4 linked regions of the Arabidopsis thaliana genome follow. The main gene of each other region encodes a partner of the protein of the gene in region 2 in a complex. Each region holds a gene or a part of one and is shown on either strand. Other genes may lie near its edges.

Evidence for each region.
Region 1: HAI2 (region 2) and CIPK23 share a complex: the UniProt entries of both Arabidopsis thaliana proteins name them as parts of the K(+)-channel calcium-sensing kinase/phosphatase complex.
Region 3: HAI2 (region 2) and CBL2 share a complex: the UniProt entries of both Arabidopsis thaliana proteins name them as parts of the K(+)-channel calcium-sensing kinase/phosphatase complex.
Region 4: HAI2 (region 2) and CBL9 share a complex: the UniProt entries of both Arabidopsis thaliana proteins name them as parts of the K(+)-channel calcium-sensing kinase/phosphatase complex.

Annotation. Positions count from the first base shown.
Region 1 is NC_003070.9:10,652,498-10,659,600, forward strand, and holds CIPK23 (CBL-interacting protein kinase 23), read left to right. Parts: upstream 1-2,302; 5' UTR 2,303-2,772; coding exon 2,773-2,997; intron 2,998-3,088; coding exon 3,089-3,151; exon of another isoform or gene 3,152-3,290; intron 3,291-3,448; coding exon 3,449-3,520; intron 3,521-3,606; coding exon 3,607-3,714; intron 3,715-3,822; coding exon 3,823-3,903; intron 3,904-4,042; coding exon 4,043-4,096; intron 4,097-4,193; coding exon 4,194-4,319; intron 4,320-4,495; coding exon 4,496-4,585; intron 4,586-4,704; coding exon 4,705-4,824; intron 4,825-4,903; coding exon 4,904-5,029; intron 5,030-5,243; coding exon 5,244-5,360; intron 5,361-5,456; coding exon 5,457-5,513; intron 5,514-5,593; coding exon 5,594-5,668; intron 5,669-5,786; coding exon 5,787-5,868; coding exon of another isoform or gene 5,869-5,885; exon of another isoform or gene 5,886-5,974; coding exon 5,975-6,027; 3' UTR 6,028-6,403; downstream 6,404-7,103. UniProt on the Arabidopsis thaliana protein: CIPK serine-threonine protein kinases interact with CBL proteins. Binding of a CBL protein to the regulatory NAF domain of CIPK protein leads to activation of the kinase in a calcium-dependent manner.
Region 2 is NC_003070.9:2,280,057-2,284,910, reverse strand, and holds HAI2 (highly ABA-induced PP2C protein 2), read left to right. Parts: upstream 1-2,082; 5' UTR 2,083-2,254; coding exon 2,255-2,758; intron 2,759-2,851; coding exon 2,852-3,163; intron 3,164-3,247; coding exon 3,248-3,760; 3' UTR 3,761-4,165; downstream 4,166-4,854. UniProt on the Arabidopsis thaliana protein: Involved in the negative regulation of the K(+) potassium channel AKT1 by its dephosphorylation, antagonistically to CIPK proteins (e.g. CIPK23). Functions as a positive regulator of abscisic acid-mediated cell signaling during seedling growth.
Region 3 is NC_003076.8:22,668,706-22,674,869, reverse strand, and holds CBL2 (calcineurin B-like protein 2), read right to left. Parts: upstream 3,758-6,164; 5' UTR 3,325-3,757; intron 2,856-3,324; 5' UTR 2,799-2,855; intron 2,718-2,798; 5' UTR 2,682-2,717; coding exon 2,558-2,681; intron 2,422-2,557; coding exon 2,339-2,421; intron 2,241-2,338; coding exon 2,181-2,240; intron 2,085-2,180; coding exon 1,976-2,084; intron 1,901-1,975; coding exon 1,848-1,900; intron 1,754-1,847; coding exon 1,673-1,753; intron 1,596-1,672; coding exon 1,483-1,595; intron 1,349-1,482; coding exon 1,291-1,348; 3' UTR 1,240-1,290; exon of another isoform or gene 1,015-1,239; intron 957-1,014; 3' UTR 770-956; downstream 1-769. Other genes in the region: AT5G55980 (serine-rich protein-like protein), read right to left, coding at 4,228-4,569; AT5G55970 (RING/U-box superfamily protein), read right to left, coding at 5,558-5,704, 5,886-6,164. UniProt on the Arabidopsis thaliana protein: Acts as a calcium sensor. CBL proteins interact with CIPK serine-threonine protein kinases. Binding of a CBL protein to the regulatory NAF domain of a CIPK protein lead to the activation of the kinase in a calcium-dependent manner.
Region 4 is NC_003076.8:19,128,840-19,134,276, forward strand, and holds CBL9 (calcineurin B-like protein 9), read right to left. Parts: upstream 3,466-5,437; 5' UTR 3,269-3,465; intron 3,038-3,268; 5' UTR 2,889-3,037; coding exon 2,810-2,888; intron 2,427-2,809; coding exon 2,344-2,426; intron 2,021-2,343; coding exon 1,961-2,020; intron 1,866-1,960; coding exon 1,757-1,865; intron 1,664-1,756; coding exon 1,611-1,663; intron 1,490-1,610; coding exon 1,409-1,489; coding exon of another isoform or gene 1,352-1,408; exon of another isoform or gene 1,321-1,351; coding exon 1,208-1,320; intron 1,121-1,207; coding exon 1,057-1,120; 3' UTR 801-1,056; downstream 1-800. Other genes in the region: LIL3:2 (Chlorophyll A-B binding family protein), read right to left, coding at 5,379-5,437. UniProt on the Arabidopsis thaliana protein: Acts as a calcium sensor involved in abscisic acid (ABA) signaling and stress-induced ABA biosynthesis pathways. Contributes to the regulation of early stress-related CBF/DREB transcription factors.

The sequences.
Region 1 (7,103 bases), 8.4 Mb from region 2:
GTTTTAACCCGCGGTTTACCGTGAACAATCGGTTTATTTGGTTTTTATACAAAATATTGGAATAAATTTGATATCCTAAACTTATAAATATAAATTTCTAGTGATTAGTGAAAAATCGTAATATATTATTTGGATATTATTGATTATTGATTTCGTGATTGAATATAGTATTTTTAGGGATGAAATGTGATCATATTTTGATTTTAAAAACGACATAAATTCCTTACTTTTGTTGAATGGTTTATATTGAAGTGAATTAATTTTATTGAACGGTTTAGATTGAATCGGATCATATAAAGTTTAGGAGGTTGTTAATACCAAATTACCCTTAATGATTTTGAATATCAGAGAACAAAATCCAAAATTGAAATCAAAATTGAGGCCAAATTAAACAAACTTTCAATTTGTACTTCCCTTAAAATAATAAAGGGATATTAGTTATCATCCGAGAAACCTGGCGAGTATATGTTCTCACTGAAATATATGTTTTAATCACAAGAGAAACATCAACCAAGTTTATACTATGTCTGAAATAAATGTAGTCATATATGACAAATATACAGATAATACAACGTTATTTTACGTTATTTTTTTTTTCTTTTACCGTTAAAGTTCAAAATTTAATTACTAATGATGAACTTTTAAATATATTTACGTATAAAATAATCAAACATAGATTTAAAATAATTGTGACTATATGTCTCAAGTACAGTTAACTCGACCGATTAAAAAGATTATTATTGTTTGATTCTTATTAGAATTGAATTTTGGTGTTATGTTCTTTTTGTTAAAGGGTTTAGTTTTGGTATTATTAGGTTAGAAAGAGATATTGTACGCTTTGTAAAATCATTTTAATTAAGCAAATAATAATGTCTTGGTTGCCTCCAACAGACACTCGAACATGATTGTTTCTGTTAACTTCCGTTAATTTAGTTTTCTGATCACAAACACGAACTCGTGGGTCGGTTTATTTTTATTTCCGAGGTCAAATATTATAATGACTGACCGGGAATATACTTTCTTGATAAGAAAGTCATTATTTACACATTAGGGTTTTTAAGAGATTAAATATAATTTTCAATCTAAAGCATCTGCAATGATCATCAACTGAAGAAAATTATGATGAAAAGATTTGAGAATTTACATTCAACGACTAAACGAGTATGAATATATATGAATCAGATAACTTTTATTTTTAAAAATATGCATCATGATGGTCATGGCCTCATGGGCTATCAATTGTAAAGTCAAACCCTTTCAAGAAAACGTGGCAAGGTCATGTGTATGTACATTTGCCCACCAATGATTTGGTTCTATTGTTTTATGCTAATACGATGATTATTAGATAACATTCTCTTTGATGAGCACCATAAAAATCAGAAACTAGGTTTAAACTATTTTGGGTTGAAAAAACAAGTATAACTAGTTAGGTTGATAACTGTATACTGTATTTATAATAGAGCATTATTTCTTATAGAAACACAAACACATATATAATCTAGACAGAAGATTCTAAACATTTGATCGAACCATCGAAAATTTAATGTTTAATGGTTTGTATCATTAAGTGCCCCTTTTGTGAAACATTTAGTATTGAAAAGGGCACGTAGCTCCTTGATACTGGTAACGGCTTTTCCATAACATCAAAAGTTCAATTGGACGTTTCAAATCTAATCAATAGTATTTATTAGAGTAAATAAAAGATCCTCTTACGTTTTATAAATCTTATAAGTACACATGTTTGGAATCTCGGAGTATAAAAAGATACTTGGATAAGTGATGGCAGCTAATTGGATAAGTGGTGGACTTAGTTCAATATTTTTATTAAAAGTTTGCATATATATATATATATATATATATATATATATTTTAATAATTAATATTAATTAGAATTTAATTGAGCAATTTCGAGAATATTATTTAAGTTAGGTAAGAATTTTTTTGTACTAATTTATCTGTTTTTATTTTTACGAGAAATTAAAGATAAAGAAAAATTTATAAATTCTTTACTGTCGTTCTTTAACTCTTTTGAAATCGTTGATTATTCGGTTGGAGAAAATATCATATTTTTTATTTTCTTTTTCGAAATTTTGTTTTAAAAAATTATGACAGCTAATTACACGGCATGTAAAAAAGTAAAATATTTACTTTTATTTATATTTGATAAAAAAGGATGACATAATTTTCTGTAATCACCATAAGTCCATAACGTTTGCATTTAAATTATCAAAGACTAAGATAAGCCTAGAATAATTTAAAATGTAAACTATAGTATACGTCAGAACCTACAGATACAACCTTCCTCGTATAATCCCTAAACAGAATTTTAATTAAACATTTCCTTAACTAATTTACTTCTTAATTTAACTTTTAAATTCCTTCCACCATCGAATCACAATCTCTCTCTCTCTCGCTTGCTGTTACTCGCTTTTTCCCAGAACCGGCTTCGATTTTTCTAAAGCAGCCGAAATTTACGATTCCCAGAATTTTCCCTACTGACAAAATTTCACTTCAAATACAAATCTCGTCTTCATGAGTCTTCTTCTTCGTCCAAATTGAATTTTCTCCGCACACGAGAGTTGAATTTTGATTTTCGGCTGTTTATATGGTCTCCGGTCCCTTAGGGTTTTAATTCTTCTGCAGATCTCTCACGATGAGCGTTGCGAAATCCCAAGTATGGCAGCCATGCAAGAAGAAGAGGTCCTCCTCCTGATTCAATAGAGATCTATCTATATATATATAAGAGACCGAGATATATATATAGAGAGAGAGATGGCTTCTCGAACAACGCCTTCACGATCGACTCCTTCACGATCAACGCCTTCTGGTAGTTCTTCTGGTGGTAGGACACGAGTTGGTAAGTATGAGCTTGGACGAACTTTGGGTGAAGGAACTTTCGCTAAGGTCAAATTCGCTAGAAATGTTGAGAATGGTGATAATGTCGCTATTAAGGTTATTGATAAAGAGAAAGTTCTGAAAAATAAGATGATCGCTCAGGTATGTATTATACAATTCTCCAGCTGCTGTGTTCTTATTGGGAATCTGATTTACGCAGTTGTGATATAACCTTTGATTTTGGATTTTGTAGATCAAGCGTGAGATTTCGACGATGAAATTGATCAAGCACCCGAATGTCATTCGTATGTTTGAGGTTTGATTCTGATACTATAAAGCTGAATTCAAAGTTGTGTTGCACGTTTTGGTTGTTGTTGTTGTTCTATAGATTTGTGCTATAAGCTGAGATTCGTTTGAAGTTATGGAACATATTTGTGGTCCCTGGCTAATCATATGTATGTAATATAAGGGATTTGATTATTCTATGTATTTTTTTGGTATCTTTGTAGTTACAGATTCTCTTCTTCTTCTTCTTCTTCTTCTTCTTCTTCTTCTTCTTCTTCTTCTTCTTCTTCTTCTTCTTCTTCTTCTTCTTCTTCTTCTTCTTCTTCAGGTGATGGCTAGCAAAACTAAGATCTACTTCGTTTTGGAATTCGTCACTGGTGGGGAGCTTTTCGATAAAATTGTAAGATTTCATTGAAAGATGTGTTTTTTTTTTCTTAATACTATGTGGAAATGAGATCTTAATTCTTTAGAATTGTCATGTATTAGTCAAGCAATGGGAGATTGAAGGAAGATGAGGCGAGGAAGTATTTCCAACAGCTGATTAATGCGGTTGATTATTGTCATAGCAGGGGAGTTTATCATAGAGACCTTAAGGTTAGGAATCTTACTTTGTGATCCTCTTGCATAGGGTTTCTTGTGAATCAATTGGCATCAGAATAAAAGTTTGATGTGTTTGAATCATGTTGCACATTCTGGTTGCAGCCAGAAAATTTGCTTTTGGATGCTAATGGTGCTTTGAAAGTGTCTGACTTTGGATTGAGCGCTCTACCTCAGCAAGTTCGAGTGAGCATCGAGATATTGATTTCTTTTTCTATCATTTCATTGTAAATATCATAGTTCGATAATTCAGCTACTATGGCTTCTAAGGAGAAAGATTTCCATGATTTATTCAAAAGCTGATTTTGTGACCCTTTTTCTTTAGGAGGATGGGTTACTTCACACAACCTGTGGAACACCCAATTATGTTGCTCCGGAGGTATTAGCAACTGCTACTGAAAACTGACACACAATTTTCTCAAAACTTGAATTCTATTATTTTCTAGTCTCAGTAACCTTCTATATTTTCTCCCTAGGTAATCAACAACAAAGGTTATGATGGAGCGAAGGCTGATTTGTGGTCTTGTGGAGTAATTCTCTTTGTTTTAATGGCTGGTTATTTACCTTTTGAAGATTCTAACCTGACGTCGTTATATAAAAAGGTATTACGCTTGCCTCTTCTTCTTTTGCTTTTCTTTTGATACATATCATTTTACATGCTATCAGAAAGGCTTCAAGGTCTAGGTGCATTTGGGTGGCTGTATAAAAGCCTCTGTCATTTTTGTATGAGACGTATATAGCATAAAAGCCACCTGATTTTCTTTCTTCATAATTACAGATATTCAAAGCAGAATTTACTTGCCCTCCCTGGTTCTCTGCAAGTGCTAAGAAGTTAATCAAAAGAATTCTGGATCCCAATCCAGCAACGGTATATTTTTCTTACCCTATTATATAATTTATATTAGAGGATCTCTCCTTTGAAGAGGCAAAAGCTTCTATAGGATTGAGTAGATCTGAAGGCTTACACTGATTTTTTATATTGGGCAGAGGATTACATTTGCTGAGGTCATTGAAAATGAGTGGTTTAAAAAAGGGTATAAAGCACCTAAATTTGAGAATGCTGATGTCAGCCTTGATGATGTTGATGCAATCTTTGATGACTCAGGGGTAAGGCTAGTGTTCTTTTGTTTGTTTTTTTCGGTACTTTGTCCGGGATGATTGCTCAGTTGTTTTTGTTTGTTAATAGGAGTCTAAGAATCTTGTTGTGGAGAGGCGAGAAGAAGGACTCAAAACACCAGTAACGATGAATGCTTTTGAGCTCATCTCGACATCCCAGGGTCTCAATCTCGGTTCACTTTTCGAAAAACAAATGGTACAGAAGTCTGATACGTAAAGCTGGTCTTTAAATTTCGTCCCCCAAGGCTCTTATTTTGTTGACAATTTTTAACTATCTTTTTGCGGTTTTGGTCAAACCTAATAAGAAGTAGCTTTGCCACAAAATTTTAGTGACCAATACTTTTCTTTGGAAGCCCGTACTTAGTTTGATAGAAGTCGTCATTCTGATTGATAAGCTTCTCTGATTTCAGGGGCTGGTGAAACGAAAAACTCGATTTACTTCCAAATCTTCGGCTAATGAGATAGTTACAAAAATTGAGGCTGCGGCAGCACCTATGGGGTTTGATGTCAAGACAAATAACTACAAGGTTAGAATACTGTTACGTATTTACCCAATGCTGTGGAGTTGTGTATTGGTTTGTTGCTTCTGAATAGACCCTTTAACCATTTCTCAACTCCTTCAGATGAAGCTGACAGGAGAGAAATCAGGCCGCAAGGGTCAGTTGGCAGTTGCCACTGAGGTTAGCTTTCACAATGACCAGTGATCACCCTTTGTATGGTTGGCTGAACCTAATTTAAGTTAATTGACATCTACCTTCAGGTTTTTCAAGTTGCTCCATCTCTTTACATGGTTGAAATGCGAAAATCAGGGGGTGACACATTGGAATTCCACAAGGTATGCAAGGGTTATTAATGCTGATCAGGTTGTATCAAACCCGAGCTTGTCAAATGGTCTTCCAGTAACTGATGTTTGAATCTTTACCTTTTTGCATCCTTTCTTGCTCTTCTTTTAGTTTTACAAGAACCTTACCACGGGACTTAAGGACATTGTTTGGAAAACCATCGACGAAGAGAAAGAGGAAGGAACCGATGGTGGTAAGTATCTGCCTTGAATACTCTGTTTTTTAGATAAAGCTCCTAGAAAAGGAGAAACTAACGAAACATGTAAACACAAATCCTGTTTTGTTTCTTCATGTTTCAGGTGGTACTAATGGTGCCATGGCTAACCGGACAATTGCAAAACAGTCGACATAAGCTGTTTACTTTTTTCTAATATAGATTTTGTTCGTTATAAATTACTATAGTAGTACGGAGTGGTTTTGAAGTTAATACAAAAGGAAGCGTCAAGAAGTGGAGCAGAAGCAGTTTGAAACTATATTGGGGAATGGGGATTATTGATATTTTAATCATGTTTGATTCCATGGAATGTTGTGAATAGCATATGCGTGTTGCGAGGTTCTTGGCTTGAATCGATTAACCGGAAAGTAAAAGCTTTACAGATTTGGTTTTGCAATTTCTATATTGTCGGACGCTGAGATTCGATAGATATTTCAGTTCAAATGTACTGAAAACAAACTAACACTTGTGTGTGAACCAAATCGAAATTTATTTTCATAATTTTAAAACCTGAAAAAGGAAAGCGGACTGAAAACCAATATCAGTGTAGACAAAACAAACTGAATATATAGCATGACTTGAAGTTAGTGAGATTTTAAAACCAAAATCAAGGAAAGAAAAATATCAATAAAGATTATGTCGGACCAAATACTATAACAAAAATTTAGAGATGGAAAACTTGGTGGCCAAGTTACTCTGTATTAATAATTGAGGGCGAAGAAGATGTGAACAAGAACACCAATTCTTCAATTAGGGGTTTTGTTATTCTTCTGTATTACTCTCTTGTTTATTGCTAAGAAACAGGTAAGGCTGTAGCTAAGAGTGTGGAGGAGGAGGAGGTTGGTCTTCATAATTTGGAAACAACTAATGTGGATGTGGATGAGGAGTTTGTTCCTCACAGTTTGGATGAAGCTAAGGCTGTTGTGGATGTTGTAGATGTGGAGGAGGAGGTTGGTCCTGTTGGTTTAGAAACAGCTAAGGCTGTTGTGGATGTGGAGAAAGAGTTTGGTCCTCGTGGTTAGTGGCGGAGGCAAAGTTTTTCTTCATGGGGGTCATTTTATATATATATATAAAGTATAAATTGTTTCAAAATAAAACTAAATAGTCTATTTTTTAATTGAAATATATATATATATATAGTTTTAGAAATGTTTCACTTTTCAATTAGAATATGCATGTTCTTCATTTTTTTTTGGTTTTCAGTTGTATTAAGT
Region 2 (4,854 bases):
AGTACTGATTTTCCATGAAGAAGACAAGCCAAATGAGAGCTTGAGATCTTGAAAACAACCAATAGAAGAGTACTGCCTATACATGACATGAGCATGATAAAATGTTTTTGTTTAAAGTACGGAATTTGATGATCAAATTTTTTGTTGTTGATCAAAACGTAGAAACACAAACTATATATCGATCGCCCCCGTGAGTAGTACGTATTATTATTTCAAAAGTAAATGATTTTGCAGACTTGCAGTTATTCATTTATAAGCGAAACGTTATCTTATGCAATGTTTACATTTGCAACACCAATTAGCTTCTTTTTTTTACAGTTGAGACTTGAGAGACACATTAAAGCTTGTCATCGTTCACTGGAGAGAGTAGAGTGTGTGAGAGACAAAGTGACCTAACTTCACTGCAACAGTAGTCGGTAAATATCCAAACATAAGAGCTACGATGGTAACACGTGTACGGTGGAGGAAAAGAGAGCCCTCAGATTCCGTTATAAAGGAGGTGAGACCCACTCGCCGGAATGGAAACAAAGGAGAAACGTAGAGGTAAATGGTTGGGCCACTGCTTCACCAAAAAGCCTTTTCTATCTTCTTTTTATTTTTGTTTTGTGGCTTTTAACGGTTAACAATATAACTCCTCATTCCAAGACAATTACGTGTCCTCTGTACGGCTTTTTCATTTTTCACTTTCTACTTCATAGTGACTTTAGGGAGGCCTCAATTTTTAATTACTCGAGGATTATTTAGGTAATCATGAATGTAACTACAGCTTTACAGGTAATTAAACAGATGAGATTTAGTTGCGTGAAATCTAGCTGATCTGGTGCTTATATCAAATCCAATTGATGGAGACAGATTTGGACTTAAATTCATGATTGTATTTGTAATCTTATATACGTTATAGTTAAATTTCTTTCTCTCCGTACGTACTCTAACTATAATTATTATTAAATGCTGAACGCAATGCTTTTGAGTGCTGAGAATCTTTTTGGTCTGATTCAAAAATGATGTATTAGTACTCTGAATTCAATCTTAACTTCTGCAACGAATCAATGTATTAATTTATAGGAGATCCGGATAAAATTATGGATATATGCACGCTACTTCTTTCATTTTTAATTAGGTAAATGGTTATAACTTTATTTTATATATCAATTAAATGATTTTGGTATGAGATTACTAGTACACTTTCTTTGCAAATGTTTTAAACACGACAAGACAAAAATATTACAAGCATATTTTGGTAAAAAATATCATAAGCTTTCATATCAAAATCATTAGTTATGATGTTAGATTTTTTTTTTTTTTTTTTAACACTACAAAAAGCTCTGGTCTTAATATGTTAGAAATTTTAGTCCAAACCAGCCTACAGAGGATTTAGCTAAACAATTCCCAAGCACCTTTTAAGTGTTAACCGAAATAACGTAATATGATGTTAAAGGTTACATAAAAACAAAACTAAAGAATTTTCATATGAAAAGTTAACGTACGTGTCTTAGTGTAACCTAATTTTAGTTCACAGTATATAAATTCTTTAATGAGATGATCGCAAAATCGCTGTATACAATTTCGTACTTAATTCGTTAGTCTTGAAAAGTTGACCTAATTTAGATCAAATTAAGGTTAACTACAATAAAAATTTAACTAACGTAATGGGATTCTTTAAAATTAAAAAATCGTTGATTAGATAGATATTTTATCTTTAAGGGAGACACAGAGACAATTTGGACAAAAAAGGTCTTCCTGAGAAAGAAGTGGACCACAATCGTGGCGCGAAAGGAACTTCCTCCTCCCCTCTGTTGCCTTGTCATTGGGCCACGTATATCTCCACCTGATCGTGATGCTTACGTGGTCCATTTCTAGATACTATAGTGACCAGATCAACGGTCAAGATTGATTCTAATTTAGACGAAAGACCAACACGTCACGTCGCTAGAGTAAAAGATTTTTTGAAGGCGGAGGGAGAAAAATCAAAAGTTAAAAGTAATTTGAAAACGAGGAAGAGAAAAAGGAATTTTAAAATGTTTAATGAAGCGGTAGGCCGCATGGGTATATAAATGGGCACGCTTTGTAACGTGTAACGATGATATTTATTCAACTGCGTGGTATAACCAAAAAAAAAAGAAACACTATTCGACTCTTTTTTTGTTTTTGTAATAAACATAAAATAAATTTTGGAGAGAGATATTTCGTCGGAAATTAATTGACGTTCAAAAGATTCGTTACCGGAATATTTAGTAGAGGCGGCGATCGAGTTATGGCGGATATTTGTTATGAAGACGAGACGTCGGCTTGTGAATCAAGACCGTTGTGGTCTAGCCGGAAGTGGAGGATCGGTGTCCAGCGATTCAGGATGTCTCCGTCGGAGATGAATCCCACGGCGTCGACGACGGAGGAGGAGGATAAATCTGAAGGGATTTATAATAAGCGAAATAAACAAGAAGAGTACGATTTTATGAACTGTGCATCGTCGTCACCTTCTCAAAGCTCTCCTGAAGAAGAGAGTGTATCACTTGAAGACAGTGACGTCTCTATCTCCGATGGAAATTCATCGGTTAATGATGTTGCAGTTATTCCGTCGAAGAAGACGGTTAAAGAGACGGATCTGAGGCCGAGATACGGCGTCGCATCGGTGTGCGGGAGAAGAAGAGATATGGAAGATGCGGTTGCGTTACATCCGTCTTTTGTACGGAAACAAACGGAGTTTTCTCGAACAAGATGGCACTATTTTGGTGTTTACGACGGCCATGGCTGTTCTCACGTACGACGCCGTTTTACCCTAATTTGAAAATTTCAAAATTATTGATATATTTACGGTTTTGCCTGATTGAAATATACGATGTCGTTTTTGTAGGTTGCGGCTAGGTGTAAAGAGAGACTTCACGAGTTAGTGCAAGAAGAAGCGTTGTCGGATAAGAAAGAAGAATGGAAGAAGATGATGGAGCGTAGCTTCACACGTATGGACAAAGAGGTTGTTCGTTGGGGTGAAACTGTGATGAGTGCTAATTGTAGGTGTGAGCTTCAAACGCCGGACTGTGACGCTGTTGGATCCACCGCCGTTGTCTCCGTCATTACGCCGGAGAAGATCATTGTTGCGAATTGCGGTGACTCAAGAGCAGTTCTTTGTAGGAATGGTAAAGCAGTACCTCTTTCTACAGATCATAAGGTCAGTCTTTATCTCTTTCTAACTCTTTCTTGATTTGTTTGATTTAGTGGATTTTAACTCTTGTTTACGTTTGAAAATGAACAGCCTGATCGTCCGGATGAGCTGGATCGAATCCAAGAAGCAGGAGGACGAGTGATATACTGGGACGGTGCAAGAGTCTTAGGCGTTTTAGCCATGTCACGAGCCATAGGAGACAATTATTTAAAACCGTACGTCACTTCGGAGCCGGAAGTGACGGTTACGGATCGGACTGAGGAAGATGAGTTTCTGATTCTAGCGACGGACGGGCTATGGGACGTAGTGACGAACGAGGCAGCGTGTACGATGGTGCGCATGTGTCTCAACAGAAAAAGTGGTCGTGGAAGACGGCGAGGAGAAACACAGACTCCGGGGAGGAGGAGTGAAGAAGAAGGGAAAGAAGAAGAGGAGAAGGTGGTGGGGTCAAGAAAGAACGGGAAGAGAGGAGAGATCACGGACAAAGCATGTACGGAGGCGTCAGTATTGCTGACGAAGCTGGCGTTGGCAAAACACAGTAGTGACAACGTAAGCGTCGTCGTTATTGATCTCAGAAGAAGAAGAAAGAGACACGTTGCTTGACACTAATCTCCTCATCACTCTTACTCCACCGTTTTTTGTGTTGTTTAAAATGATTCTTTTACCTTGGGACGAAGGTAGCTCAAATCTTTGAACCCAAAAGAGAGAAAAAAAAAGCATTAGGTCTAAAAAAAAAACCCCGGTTTACTGAAAGCGGTTAAACCGGGTATGGTTGGGTCTTTTTTGTTCTGAACCTTTTTTTCTTGCCTTTTTTCGGTGTGTAATGAACAAACAGAAAAGGAAGCCGGAATGTGTCACTGTCTAGGTGGAATCAGTTCAGAATTCAATTAATAAAAAAGTATGTATATGTTTTCTTGGCTTTTAAAGCAAACCAATTAACTCGGATACGCGTGGTGATCTTTGAGAACATCACCGGGAATTTTCAGTTTGTTGATAAAGATTTTAAAATCTCTATAAACGAGTGGGCCTTTTTGGTGTTGGAAGAAATTCAAAATCTCACGGAAACGAAAAGAGAGAGAAGATAATTGGGAAGAGGACGGAGTACGTGTCGAAGAGGTAAAAGTAGAAACCCTACACCACGTAAAGAGGATGTGACACACCGGAACGATGCATATGTTAATATGCGCATTCGTACGTGTCGGTGTCGGTGTCGGGTAATTGATTGAGATCTGAATATGAACCTAATCAGACTGTTTTATCTAAACATGATCACTGGTCTGATGGAAAATCAAAATTAACTTACCTGTCATGTAATGTAAGAATTTTATTAAGAAGGAAAATCGAACCAACACTCCCAAAGCATTTGGGCCGAGAATTTTGGGGTATTATATTTTCATCTGAATCCTATAAGGCTATAACCTACCCAAAAATTTGGTAGCGCAACATCTAAACTTGATACAGAAAAATGAGACAAGGATATATTAAGCTTCAAATAGATGACCCATACAAAATGTTTTAATTGCCCAACCTAAACACATACTGAGTTGAAGTACCATATGTTTTTTCAAATAGGCCACACGAGCAGCAATTCTAGTCAGACATAATAAACTAAGACACATGAGCGTTGCAGCAACCTGAAAGCAAAATGTTAAAGAAAAGGAGAGGTTGCAGAATAAGACCTCTCTAAGACAAATGTA
Region 3 (6,164 bases), on a different chromosome or scaffold from region 2:
ATAATCTTTTATACTCTTTTTATTCTTTCAAACCAATTAATCTTTTTTCTATGAGGAGATTTTAGTTATTTGTGTGAATATAGTTATGAAAACATGTAGACAATAATTGAAACCTAAATGTGAAAGGTCCAAACTTAAACTTTTTTGTGGTTTAAAGCATAAAATTAATTTTCAAAAATATATATGTCAAAATGATGTATATAAAATAAAAACTAAATCATATTAATGAAATATTCCTTTGAAAGATAAAAAAGCTGAAGAGACGGCATGAAGTATGGCTATTGAGTTGAGTTGGCTTTAGAAGCACTGTTTGATCTTGAAGTTGAGTTTGCGTCTAGTATGGCCGAAGATAAGATGAAGAGTAAAAGTTGCTTTTTCTAAATGAAAAGCGCTCCTTGGAGAAAGAGATAGTCTACATGGAGCGTGAAGAACTTTTAGAAGAGGTTTCTTATTTCAGTCTTGTGTAGCAAAACAAGAAGAATGGTCTTCCTTCTCCTCAAGAAAGAACATGGAAGTCATTGAAGCATAAATGAGTCATTCTTCCATTGCCTTACTACAAACACAATGTTCCCCTCATCTACAATGGATGGGAAACTTGATTGGCAAGTCACTTCCTTTTGTATTAATGTAGGGTTCTTGGTGAGGGAAAATCGCTAATTCTTCAATTAGGTTTTTTTTCCCTTTTCTCACCTCTTCTTCTTTTTGGAAGAACATTATTCATGTCTCTGCTTCTCAACCATCCCCCGAAGCTCTGCTTTCGTATACCCTTGTTGGTAAGATCATCTCCTCTTCTCTCTAATGGCGTCTCATCGAAGATCCACTTTTTGTCATCATGTAAGTTGATTCTTGTGGAGCTGATCTCGGAAAACTCGTCATTAGGAGGGCTGGTGACATCACTCAGTTTTGACTAGTTTTGCTTACAAGTCACATATGAAATGACTAGTTTTGCTTGCAATCTAGAAATCCATTGAATTAATATTAAAAGCTAACTCTAATAACCAAAACACAGAGATTGAAGCAAATCTTTTTAATTGGATTAATAAATAAACTGAAAAACTTTACATTACCATAACATCAAGATGCAAAAGTTGTATCTACAGATAGACCGAGCGAAATCAAAAAGGACAAAAACCAAACTAAAAAGAAGAATTTTGCTTCACAAAAAAAGCTCAATAAAAAATAAAATGAGTTCAGAGATTTAGAAATGTAACAAATAAAGAACCATAACGAAAGAACAACCTTCAACAATACAATGATGTCTTGCCGCTGCTTGCTTTTGCTTTTGCTTTTTCAGGTATCTTCAACCTGAGAATGGAACACAAAGCTTGGAAACGTAGTCGTGATATCCCTGCAGAGCAAGCACACAACAGGATCACGACCTTTATTACATATCATGGAGAATAGAAGAAAGAGAAACCAGAGAAGGAATTTGGTTGAATAGATTCAATCCTGGTTATATAAATAGAAAGATTTGGAACTCACTTGAGATATTGAAGAGTCATGTTCTTCAGAAGGCTGGGATGTCTAAGAACAAGGCTTCTCCACTCTTCCTTATCGATCTTTCCATCGTGTTTTGTGTCTGCTTCCTCAAACGTCTGAAACATTCAAAACTCGGGAAATTACTTTCAAAGAAAAAATATAGGGTGAAGAGGAAAAAAAGTAAGTAACTTACCTTGTCGATTATATCCTCAATGACAGTATCCTTCAAATTCATTCCAGATTCAGCAAGCGTAGCGACAACCATTTGTTTCACCTGGACAAATGATGGACGAAAATGTCAGTGAGGATAATAAAGCGCACTTCTACAAGGTTATATATGAAGCTATTTGAAGATATGGAAGCTTTACCTCTTGCCGTTCGATAAACCCTTGCTGTTTAAGATCATATAGCTGAAATGAAACTGCAAAAAAATAGTATATATCATTAATGTGTTATCCCAATCTTGTTTTTGAGATACAAGCTAAAAGGGACGTACAGTGAATTTTGTCATCTATAGGCGCATTTGGGTGAAAGACGGAGAGAGCACGAGCAAATTCCTCAAACCCCAGTATTCCATTGTGCTTTGTATCAAACAAATCGAAAACCTAGAAACAAAATCACATATTTCAGCATTTCTTCTAAACTTGATCTTGACAAAAATGGGTTTAAGAACACTTATAATGTGAAGAAAGAAACATTACCCGATCTGCAAACAAACTCTCTTTTTTATTTGTCTTAAACAAAGCCAACTGAAACTCTTCCTGATACAAACAAGAGATGAGTAAATTAGACAGATTGTTAGATCAATCACTAAAGCTTTACCAAATGAGGAAGAAGATCAAACAAGTTAGAGTTATACCTTGTTTATTAGCCCATCATCAATCACGGCACTGCTGATTTTCTTAAAAAGCTCATAAAGAGCTTCTATTTCACTCACACTAACTGCATTCCAAAACCAAATTCAATCATCAATAGTCTTCAGAAGAAATATTTTTGCATTCCTCAAATGGTATTGCATCGAATCTTATAACCGGAAAAAAAAAAAAAAAAAAAGAGTAGAGAAGGTGATAGGGCATACAAACAGTGTCTCTTGCAAGCAATTCAGGATCTCCAAGGCCACCAGATTGTTTATACAAATCAAGATCAAAACACCCTAAAACAGAGGTGCATAAATGCTTGATACCGTCAACGCACTGCGACATGATATATCTTAAGCAGCAAATCAAAACTCTCCATGCCTGCATATAAAACATTGTGAACTTGTTTTGCTAATTTCAAAAAACAGCTCTACAGAAGCAAGCATATGAAGAACACTGTACCTTTCAACCATTTCCTAGTGTTTTTTGCTGAGAAAGGATGAGACTTTGCGAGAGTATCTGTAACACAAGTTGCAAAATTCAGAGTAATCTAAATAAGTCAGTCAATATAGGCAACACAAACATTGCTTAGAAACTGAAGTCATTATCATGATTTTACTATTCAGATGATTCAGTTATGTCCACATAATATATACAATATTGAAGAAGATAAGAAAATTAATGGAGAATCTAAAGACTTAATCAAAGCTCATTAACCAAATTTTAATCTTAAACATCACAATTTATGGACACACAAAATTAATAAAATCCATCAGAAACAAACCCAAATTGGGAAATTTGAATTTATACATTAATGAACTCAAGGATTACACAATCAATTACAGGTTCTGAGAAACAAAACCCGATCTAGATCCCCAAAAATCGTCCTAATGGATTCGTGAATCGCAGATTCAACAGAGATAGAAGAATCTTGATATGTAAGTGAACTCAAAATGAGTAGAATGGATTTGCGTATACGAAAATTTACCGATTACGTTGATTCTCAATCTCAAGTCGGCTCTGGTTGTTGAAGCTGAGCGAGGAAGACGGAGACGATTTGTTGTAAAGCAGAGGAGAGAGTTGGAAAACAAATTAAAACCTGAAGAATCTTTTTAAATATCTCAACAAACAACAAAAACTCAATCTTTTTGCATTATTACAAATTAAATCCTGAAAAATCTGCTCAAATCGTCGTCGTTTTATTCTTCAAAATACGGTTCGATTTGATTTTCGTTCCGGTTAAGTAAAACTCGAGCTGAATTGAACCGGACATAAATTTGAATTTCACATTCACCCATAGAATATATGATCTATTGTGCTATTGGAGAATTTAAGTTTTCAAAAAATCTTCAAATTAGTACATTTTTTACGATGTTAAATGCAAAATAATCATACAAAATCAAAGATAATATGTGATATAGCCATTTTTTTCTATTGTCAAATTTTAAATTTTTGACAAGTAACATATAAAATCGAACCTCCCGAAATGATAAGTTCAATTATATCTTCAGAAATTTTAAAAATAATGTGATCATCAAAACGTTTACAATATATATAAATTTGCAAAAATATATTATATTGCGTATTATTTCTGACTTCGTAAAATTATTTTATATTTTCTTTATATAAAATGTAGACAGAAAAATTCATTTCAAGTATTTTTGAAGCATATAAAATGTGTATGTAATAAATGCTTAAATTTGAATCAAATTGGTGAAAATTAGATAAAAGTTTACCTTGAATCGGGTTAAGCCGATTTCAAGCGGTTTAGTAATACAGACCAATGTCTTTTTCGATAAAAATTATTGAACAATGTCAAAAGAAGAAGTAGAAGAAACAAACAAATAACAAAACCGACAGTTATTATACCGAACAAATCCAGTAACCGGGTTTACTGAGCCTTGAGGGAGTCACTAAACCGGCTCGACTTGGACGACAATAAAACAGCGAGGTTCGACCCAATAGACCCGGCACGTGTCAACGAATCAACGCGGTGATACCTGCACCTGAAAGAACCGGCGTGTGTCGTCGGAGAACATAAACAATTTAGCCTCGTAGATTTACCGGAGGACGATCTCCAACGTTTTAAACTAGGTGAGTTATTGTCTTGGCTCTTCGATTCAACGGTAGAGCTACCGGAGGGTTTAGGGTTGATCTTGGCTAAACTTGTGGAATACTTTTCTTGTGCCTTAGGTTGTCCGAGATTTAGGGTTGAAGGGTTTTCTTTCGTCATGGTTTTGACGAACGTAAATAAGAATGAATTTGTGTTGTTGTTTCTTGCTAATGAATCAAAAGGTAATTTCTATAGTGACTTTTGTTATGAAGGTAAAGAATGATTTGTGTTGTTTCTTGCTAATGAATCCAAAAGGTCATTTATAATAGTGACTTGTGAGAGAAGGCAGCTAAAAATAGTCGTTGGATGTTGTTGACAAACTGCTTTTTTAAGTTATTGGTGGTTAGTATTCTAGAAAAGAGTTATTGTAAATTAGTAGAAAATATTTGACTTGGAGGTTTTATTCTTCTTTTTATGGTTTACACATTTTGTGCAAGGACAAATATTATGACTTTTCAACCAATTAGGAACATACTTAGTTGTGTTAGTGCCAATTGAGAATCTAGAACAGTCTAATTTAAAGATTCTGTAACCAAAAAAAAACATCTGATTGTTTTTGTTTGGTTTGTGCCTATTTTAGGTTTTGACAGACTCAAAGGCTTAAAATTCAAACTCTAAATTAAACACCCTAAGACTTACTTATATAGCTGAAGTCAAAACCATCTCAAAGACTCCAACTATTTAGATGCCATGTCCAAAACTTTTATACTTATGAGATATAGTTAATGCTATAAAAATATTTCTTTTAAGAAAACCGACATCCTAATTGATAGTTAATGAAGTAATGTTTGGGTTTTCAGTTTTAAATTGCAAAAAAAAAAATTGAACATATAAAAAAATATATACATCAAGATATGTAAATGAGACGAGAGAAAAAACAAAATATGTAGTATAAACACTATATTAAGATTCTATAAAGTTGTTGCCATTGTGATTTGCATCATCTACTCACAATGTACATAACGATTACTGGTGAGCTCTTTATGTACAAAAAATTTGACACTCACACAAGTAATCGACTTTGCTTCAATCCAAAACTAAAAAAAAAAAAAACTGAGAAAGAAAAAAATTATATTGAGCTTTTGTTGCTTTTAGGGTATTTGCTTTGTCATCTTGGAAGATCTTGTTTGCAGAGAGGACAACAAGAGATGATACGAAGCCATTGATCTACACACTTTGAGTGAAACTTATGTGAACATGGAAGCTTCCTTACTTCTTCTTTGTCTTTATACTTTGCCAAACATATACAACACTCCTGCAAAACCAAATCAAAACTCAAAATCTAAGTCCTTTTCAATCATAAACGAGACTAATAGACAACATTCGACATCAGATTCCCTTAGTGGATCAAAACAGAGCTATCACAGATTAAACCTTATGGTCCAAGAAAACTTGTGGATTTGGCTTGAATTGAGAGTAAAAGAATTAGGACTTACTGGATCATCAGTTACAGTAGCTGAATCTGAATCAGAATCAGAAGCACTATCGTCGATTCGTTTGAATTTCCAGCTAGGGAGACTAGAGATTTGGTCATCTGATGCTGCTCTGTCTGAGGATCCCATGTTCATGTTATATCCAAGGAGGCTACTTATGAGAGGAACAAGGCAACAGAGGAAGAGGAAGAGAAGAAAGGGAAAGGAATAGCAGATAGCGTTCCAAGCTAAAAGAGAGACGCAGAGAACGTGAAGCTTGGGAGCATGGTGGAAAGAACCAAA
Region 4 (5,437 bases), on a different chromosome or scaffold from region 2:
TAAGGTGTACCATTAACATAAACGTATGTGGCTAGGTGTAGAAGATAGATCACTTGTGCAAGCATATATAACTCATGGTAACTCATGTTACCAATCACACCCATAGTATGGAGGATAAGTGCACACACAGAGTTAAAAGGAAAAAAAAAACCATGAACATAAACTTGCGAGTTAAGCGCAATTATAGAGTACAATACAGTACTAATCCGAGGTCGAATCTGCGGTTATACAACAGATTAACCTCTTCTCCGTATTTCCGGGATTCTCTATACCATGCCATTTTTCTTTTTTTAGATATGGACAACGTCCCACTATCACGCTCATCTAGATTGTGCCAGGGGAAGTGTCATCTTCCGTGAGAAATTTCTTTTTGGTATCAACTCTTGAGTTTCATACAAATGATTCTTGTCTGAACTCTTGAGTTTCAACTAAATGATCCTCAAACTTGGCTTTTGTAGTCAAAGAACATGGAGGATATGTAAAAGCGTCGCCGTACAGGGGGATTAGAGAGAATCACTCCACAGCATGGAATGTCTGAATCCGCTTGAGTTCTTTAGCTACTGGGATCATCATTGGTCTGTCTTCATCTCAAAGCCGGCACCACACACGTCAATTCGGATTTATCGGTTACAATAAATTCAGGTCTGGTTTGATTATAATTTTAGTTTCATTTTGGTATTTTTGAAGTTTTCAATTCCCTTAATAATAATAAATTGATTTATATGGCTAATTTCTTCTGTCTAAGCATATTTGACTTTGATTTCTCGTTACATAAAACATAAAGTGTTGGAATAATTTATGAGCAAAATCAAATCTTTAATCAGAAATTGTGGTTTTATATTAATCTTTTCGTAGAACTACAACTTGAGTATTCAAAACTGTTAAAGAAAGAGAGCCAAAAGTAATCGCAATACATGAAATTGAAATCCAATAGACTAAAAATTCCAAAGGAAATAGAGCTCGATCCTGCTATATAACATTGTTGGAATCAATCTTCTTTTTATTCTTGGTCCAGCCTACGACTTGGTCTCTATAAACCAGCTTGTCTTGTCTCTTTCACGTCGCAATCTCGTCCACCTCCGAGTTAAATACGAAACTCGGAAATGTCGTCGTTATATCCCTAAAATTGAGTTTTTAAGTCCTCAAACTTGGAAAATGGCACCAAAACTGGCCAAATAGATGGAAGTATCATAGTAAGGAGACATACCTGAGATACGGAAGAGTCATGATTTTAAGCAAAGATGGGTTTTTGATAACGAAATTGCTCCATTCTGTCTTATCAATCTTTCCATCCCGATCCACATCTGCGTCCTCAAATGTCTGTTCACGAAAAGAAAAAAAAACTCGAGTTTCATAAAACAGTCTTTCTTTTGACAGAAAACAAACTTGTAATAGACAACAAGTAAACCTGATCAAGTATCATCTCTATTGTATCATCAGCCAGTTTCATTTCAGATTCGCAGAGAAGTGCAATCAACATCTGCTTCACCTGCCAAAAACGCATACACAATTATGATTACTTATAGATGATGCAGAATCCATAATACTGAAAGTCTTTGAAACATAGATTGTTTGGGAATGGAATGTGAAGATATAGGACCATTGTTTACCTCTTGGCGCTCAATGAAGCCTGTGCAGTCCATGTCGTAAAGCCTAAAGGTAACTGATATATGAAATACAGAATAACATGAATAAAAGTACAGCAAGGCTTTAGAGAAACGACGATGGATATAAACTCGTTTATGGGTCAACTTACAGTCTGTTTTCTCCTCTAGGGAAGCATTAGGATGGAAAACATTGAGTGATCTCACAAAGTCTCCAAAATCAATTACGCCTTTTCGTTTAACATCAAATAAATCAAATATCTGGAAAAAAGAGCATTACCATTAACTACTTATAATAGAACTAATCGTTACGACTAACTACAAAGTTACTAAGGCCAAAGAAACTTAGAATTTACCCTATTGGCAAACAAATTTTCTTTCTTTCTGTTCTTGAACAAAGCAAGTTGAAACTCTTCCTGCATAACAAGTTGGTCGAGAAAATAAGTAACAATATCCAAGAGTGGGCCAAGAAAACATCAATTTTTATAAGCAAACCAATATAAAAAATGGAATTAAAATTCAAGTCAACTATCATCAACACAGAGACTTGGTGAGCAATAAGGAGCCCACAGCTCAGCATGGAGATTCAATAATAAATTTGTGAAAGTCAAGAAAGTTGACAAATAATACGGAATATGGATAATGGTGCAATGAATATTATTATGTCACTGTACATCACGCATTCAAGATTCTCCCATGAGGTGCGAAATAATCAAAGGGCTATGAGATTTATCATTACCTTGTTTATCAAGCCATCGTCAACAACCGAGCTGCTTATGCTCTTGAACAATTCATACAATGCTTCAACTTCACTAACACTAACTAGAAAAACAAACAAATAATTAGCCACACTGCGAGATTTCTCATCAACATCATGTATATCACCAAAACAAAAATCGAAAGTGATGGTTCTTGAAAACTTTCTCTGATTAAGATTCCATTTGAAAGTAGAAGTAAACTACACTAATGATCCAAGAAACTATTGAAATAGGTTTATGTGATGACTTAAGTAACAACAAGCATCATTTAACAAAGTTGTAGATCAAATAGATTATGAATGAAAGAACCATTTTTCGGATTCAATAAATGGCGAAAACAGATTCTCATATCAGTTAACAATTGATAAAAGAGAGATCTTTATGCTCATGCTCTTTGAGAATAAAGCAAAGAAGAGAAAACGAAACGTATAGTGCAAGTAAACTTACAAGCAGTCTCAGAAGCAAGCTTCACAGGGTTTTCGTGATCGGGAAATTCTCTGGCAGCCGTGGAATGGAAACAACCCATTTACGGATGACAAGAGTAAAACGAAGAAGAAGAAGCTTGTTCCGGAGGTTGATAAAATCGCCAAACTCTACTACAATTTCTGAGATTGTGAAAAAGCTTGATTTCTGATATTACTCACTCCCCATCATCATCATAAGCATCTTTAAAAACTACAATGATTCAATCAAAAACAAAACCCAACAAAAATTGAATTAAAAGACGAACACGATAATTGAATAAGTATAAACCCTAGAAAAAATAAGCAGCAGCTATGTGGCAATCGAATTCAGATTAACAAAATTTTGAATATTAAATCGGAAATTAAACAGGTAATGTAGGAGCGGCTCGAGAATCTCCGAACCCAGAAACTGAATGGTGAAATCGAAAAATTGAGCACTTACCACCGAGAGAACGGGCTCGCCGGCTCGGTGAGAGAGAGAGAGGAAGGGATTTTGATTTTTGAGAAACGAGAGAGAGACGAAGAAGAAGATCTCTGACCACGATGGTAGATGAATTGATCGGACGGCTGAGATTAACTTCAGACTTTGCTGGGCTTTTTTTGTTCGTCAGAGGCCTCCGATTGGGGAAATTATGAGAGAGTTTGTTTATAACATGATCGTCGCACGTGTGAGGGTCTGAACGCGTGTGAAACACATCCTTGTCATTTTTACCTCTTTTTTTCTACCAACCCCATTTTTATTTTATTTTTATTACAGTGTGGGAAGAAAACAAAGCCATTATTGTTGTTTGACATTTTAGTTTCGAAATTTCAACTTTCAACTTTCCTTTTTTATTGGTTAAGAAAGTTAATCATTTTTACAAGTTTTCTTACAATTCTGCAATGATTTTGTTTTGTTTTTGTTTTTTTATTAAAAGAAAAATATTTAGACTCGAATTTTGTTTTTATGTAAGTTTATAACTGTAAGAAAAAAAAAGTGTAGAGAGGTAACTAGTACTTGTAGAGTCAAGATTTAACATACTCAAAAGATACTAAGAATGATATTTATTTGTATAAGATATAATTTTCAAATTGGATCTTTCATTTTCATAATCCATACAGATGTCAAGATCTCATAGTCTTCAAGATCTTGCAATAAATAAATATTAATATGATAACCCAACTAGCAAGGGGACTAATTACTGTATTTATCTATATATTCAAGATTCATGTAGAGTGTGTTTGATAATAATTTCAATATGGGTCATATACCTTTTGGGATAAACGAAGAATTATAATAATTCTGGTCACATTTTAGTAGTCTAATCAATCACGTAGGACAAACAAAAATCCAATAGTATAAAGGCGGTCTAAATAAGAATTATGGATTAACATAATTACTTTTATATAAACCATAAGACATGATCTAATCATGTATATTATCAAATTTTGAAACTAATTAAGTACGTACGCCATCCAACAATCCAATAATGTAAACTATATAATGTTCGCCTAAAAAAAAGAAATGGATTAGCATATCCATAAGACATGGCCAAATCATGCATGTTACGTATATTAAATTTGAAACTGGGATCCTGGCTCTAGTAAGAGTGGTTTATAATTTTATATTGGGTTTAGAATTCCAAATTAAATGGTCAAATTCTTTCATTCCAATACAAGCAGAAACTTTTATGATAGTAAAAAGATTATGAGAAGACTTATGAGGTGTTAAGAAAGTGGGAGATGTATTATGAGGAGGAGAGATTATGAGTATAGTAAAAAGATTATGAGAAAAAAGATTATGACAATAGTAAACAAGAAGGTCCATACAGTATCCATGTTTTTCAAGAAAGTGGGAGATGCCAAAGTCCTGGACCTAATATTTTTGTTTTAAGTTTTGATAACTAACTAATTTTTTTTAAATCAGACACAAAAATAAACATAGACTGTTGATATTTTAGAAAATTAAGATCTATTAAAAAAATATTGTATTTTCTTATAGATAAACAAAAAAAACTTTTTTTTTACTAAAAGACTAATATCAAACTGTCCTAAGGTCCCTACTAATTTTGGGCCGGTGGTCCTGACAAGTGACAACAGTTTAATGGTCCATTTTGTACTTAAAATTGAGTCAAATTAGTTGCGGCAATAAGAGCAGAGCAGTAATGTGTTACACCCTTAAAGGACGTTAGTACTGAAGCCCAAATTCTTTGGAGGTTGGTTGGTTGGTTGATGAAGTGCGGTTTTGATTAATTCACAAATATGACTTACTTGATGACTTTTCACAAACATCCATCTGGAAACGCTACTATTTGATGATGTATTAACAGTAGAAAGCATATTAAAAAAAATAAAATCTCTTATTGATTAAATTATCAAGCGTCAAAACGAAATAGGTCTGCTTTACAAGTCAAAGACCTTCGATACATTATCTTTGAGACTACTTCATAGAGATTTTTAAAGCAGAAAGATTACAAAATCTGAAGATCAGTAGTTCAGTAGAGATAAACTTTCACTGATTCACAGATTATTGCATAACAAAAAAAGGAAAATGAAAGATTGTAAGAACTTGTTCACTTCTTTGAAGAAACTGTTGATGAATCTGGCTCTTTCCATGCAGCTTGCCATTGTT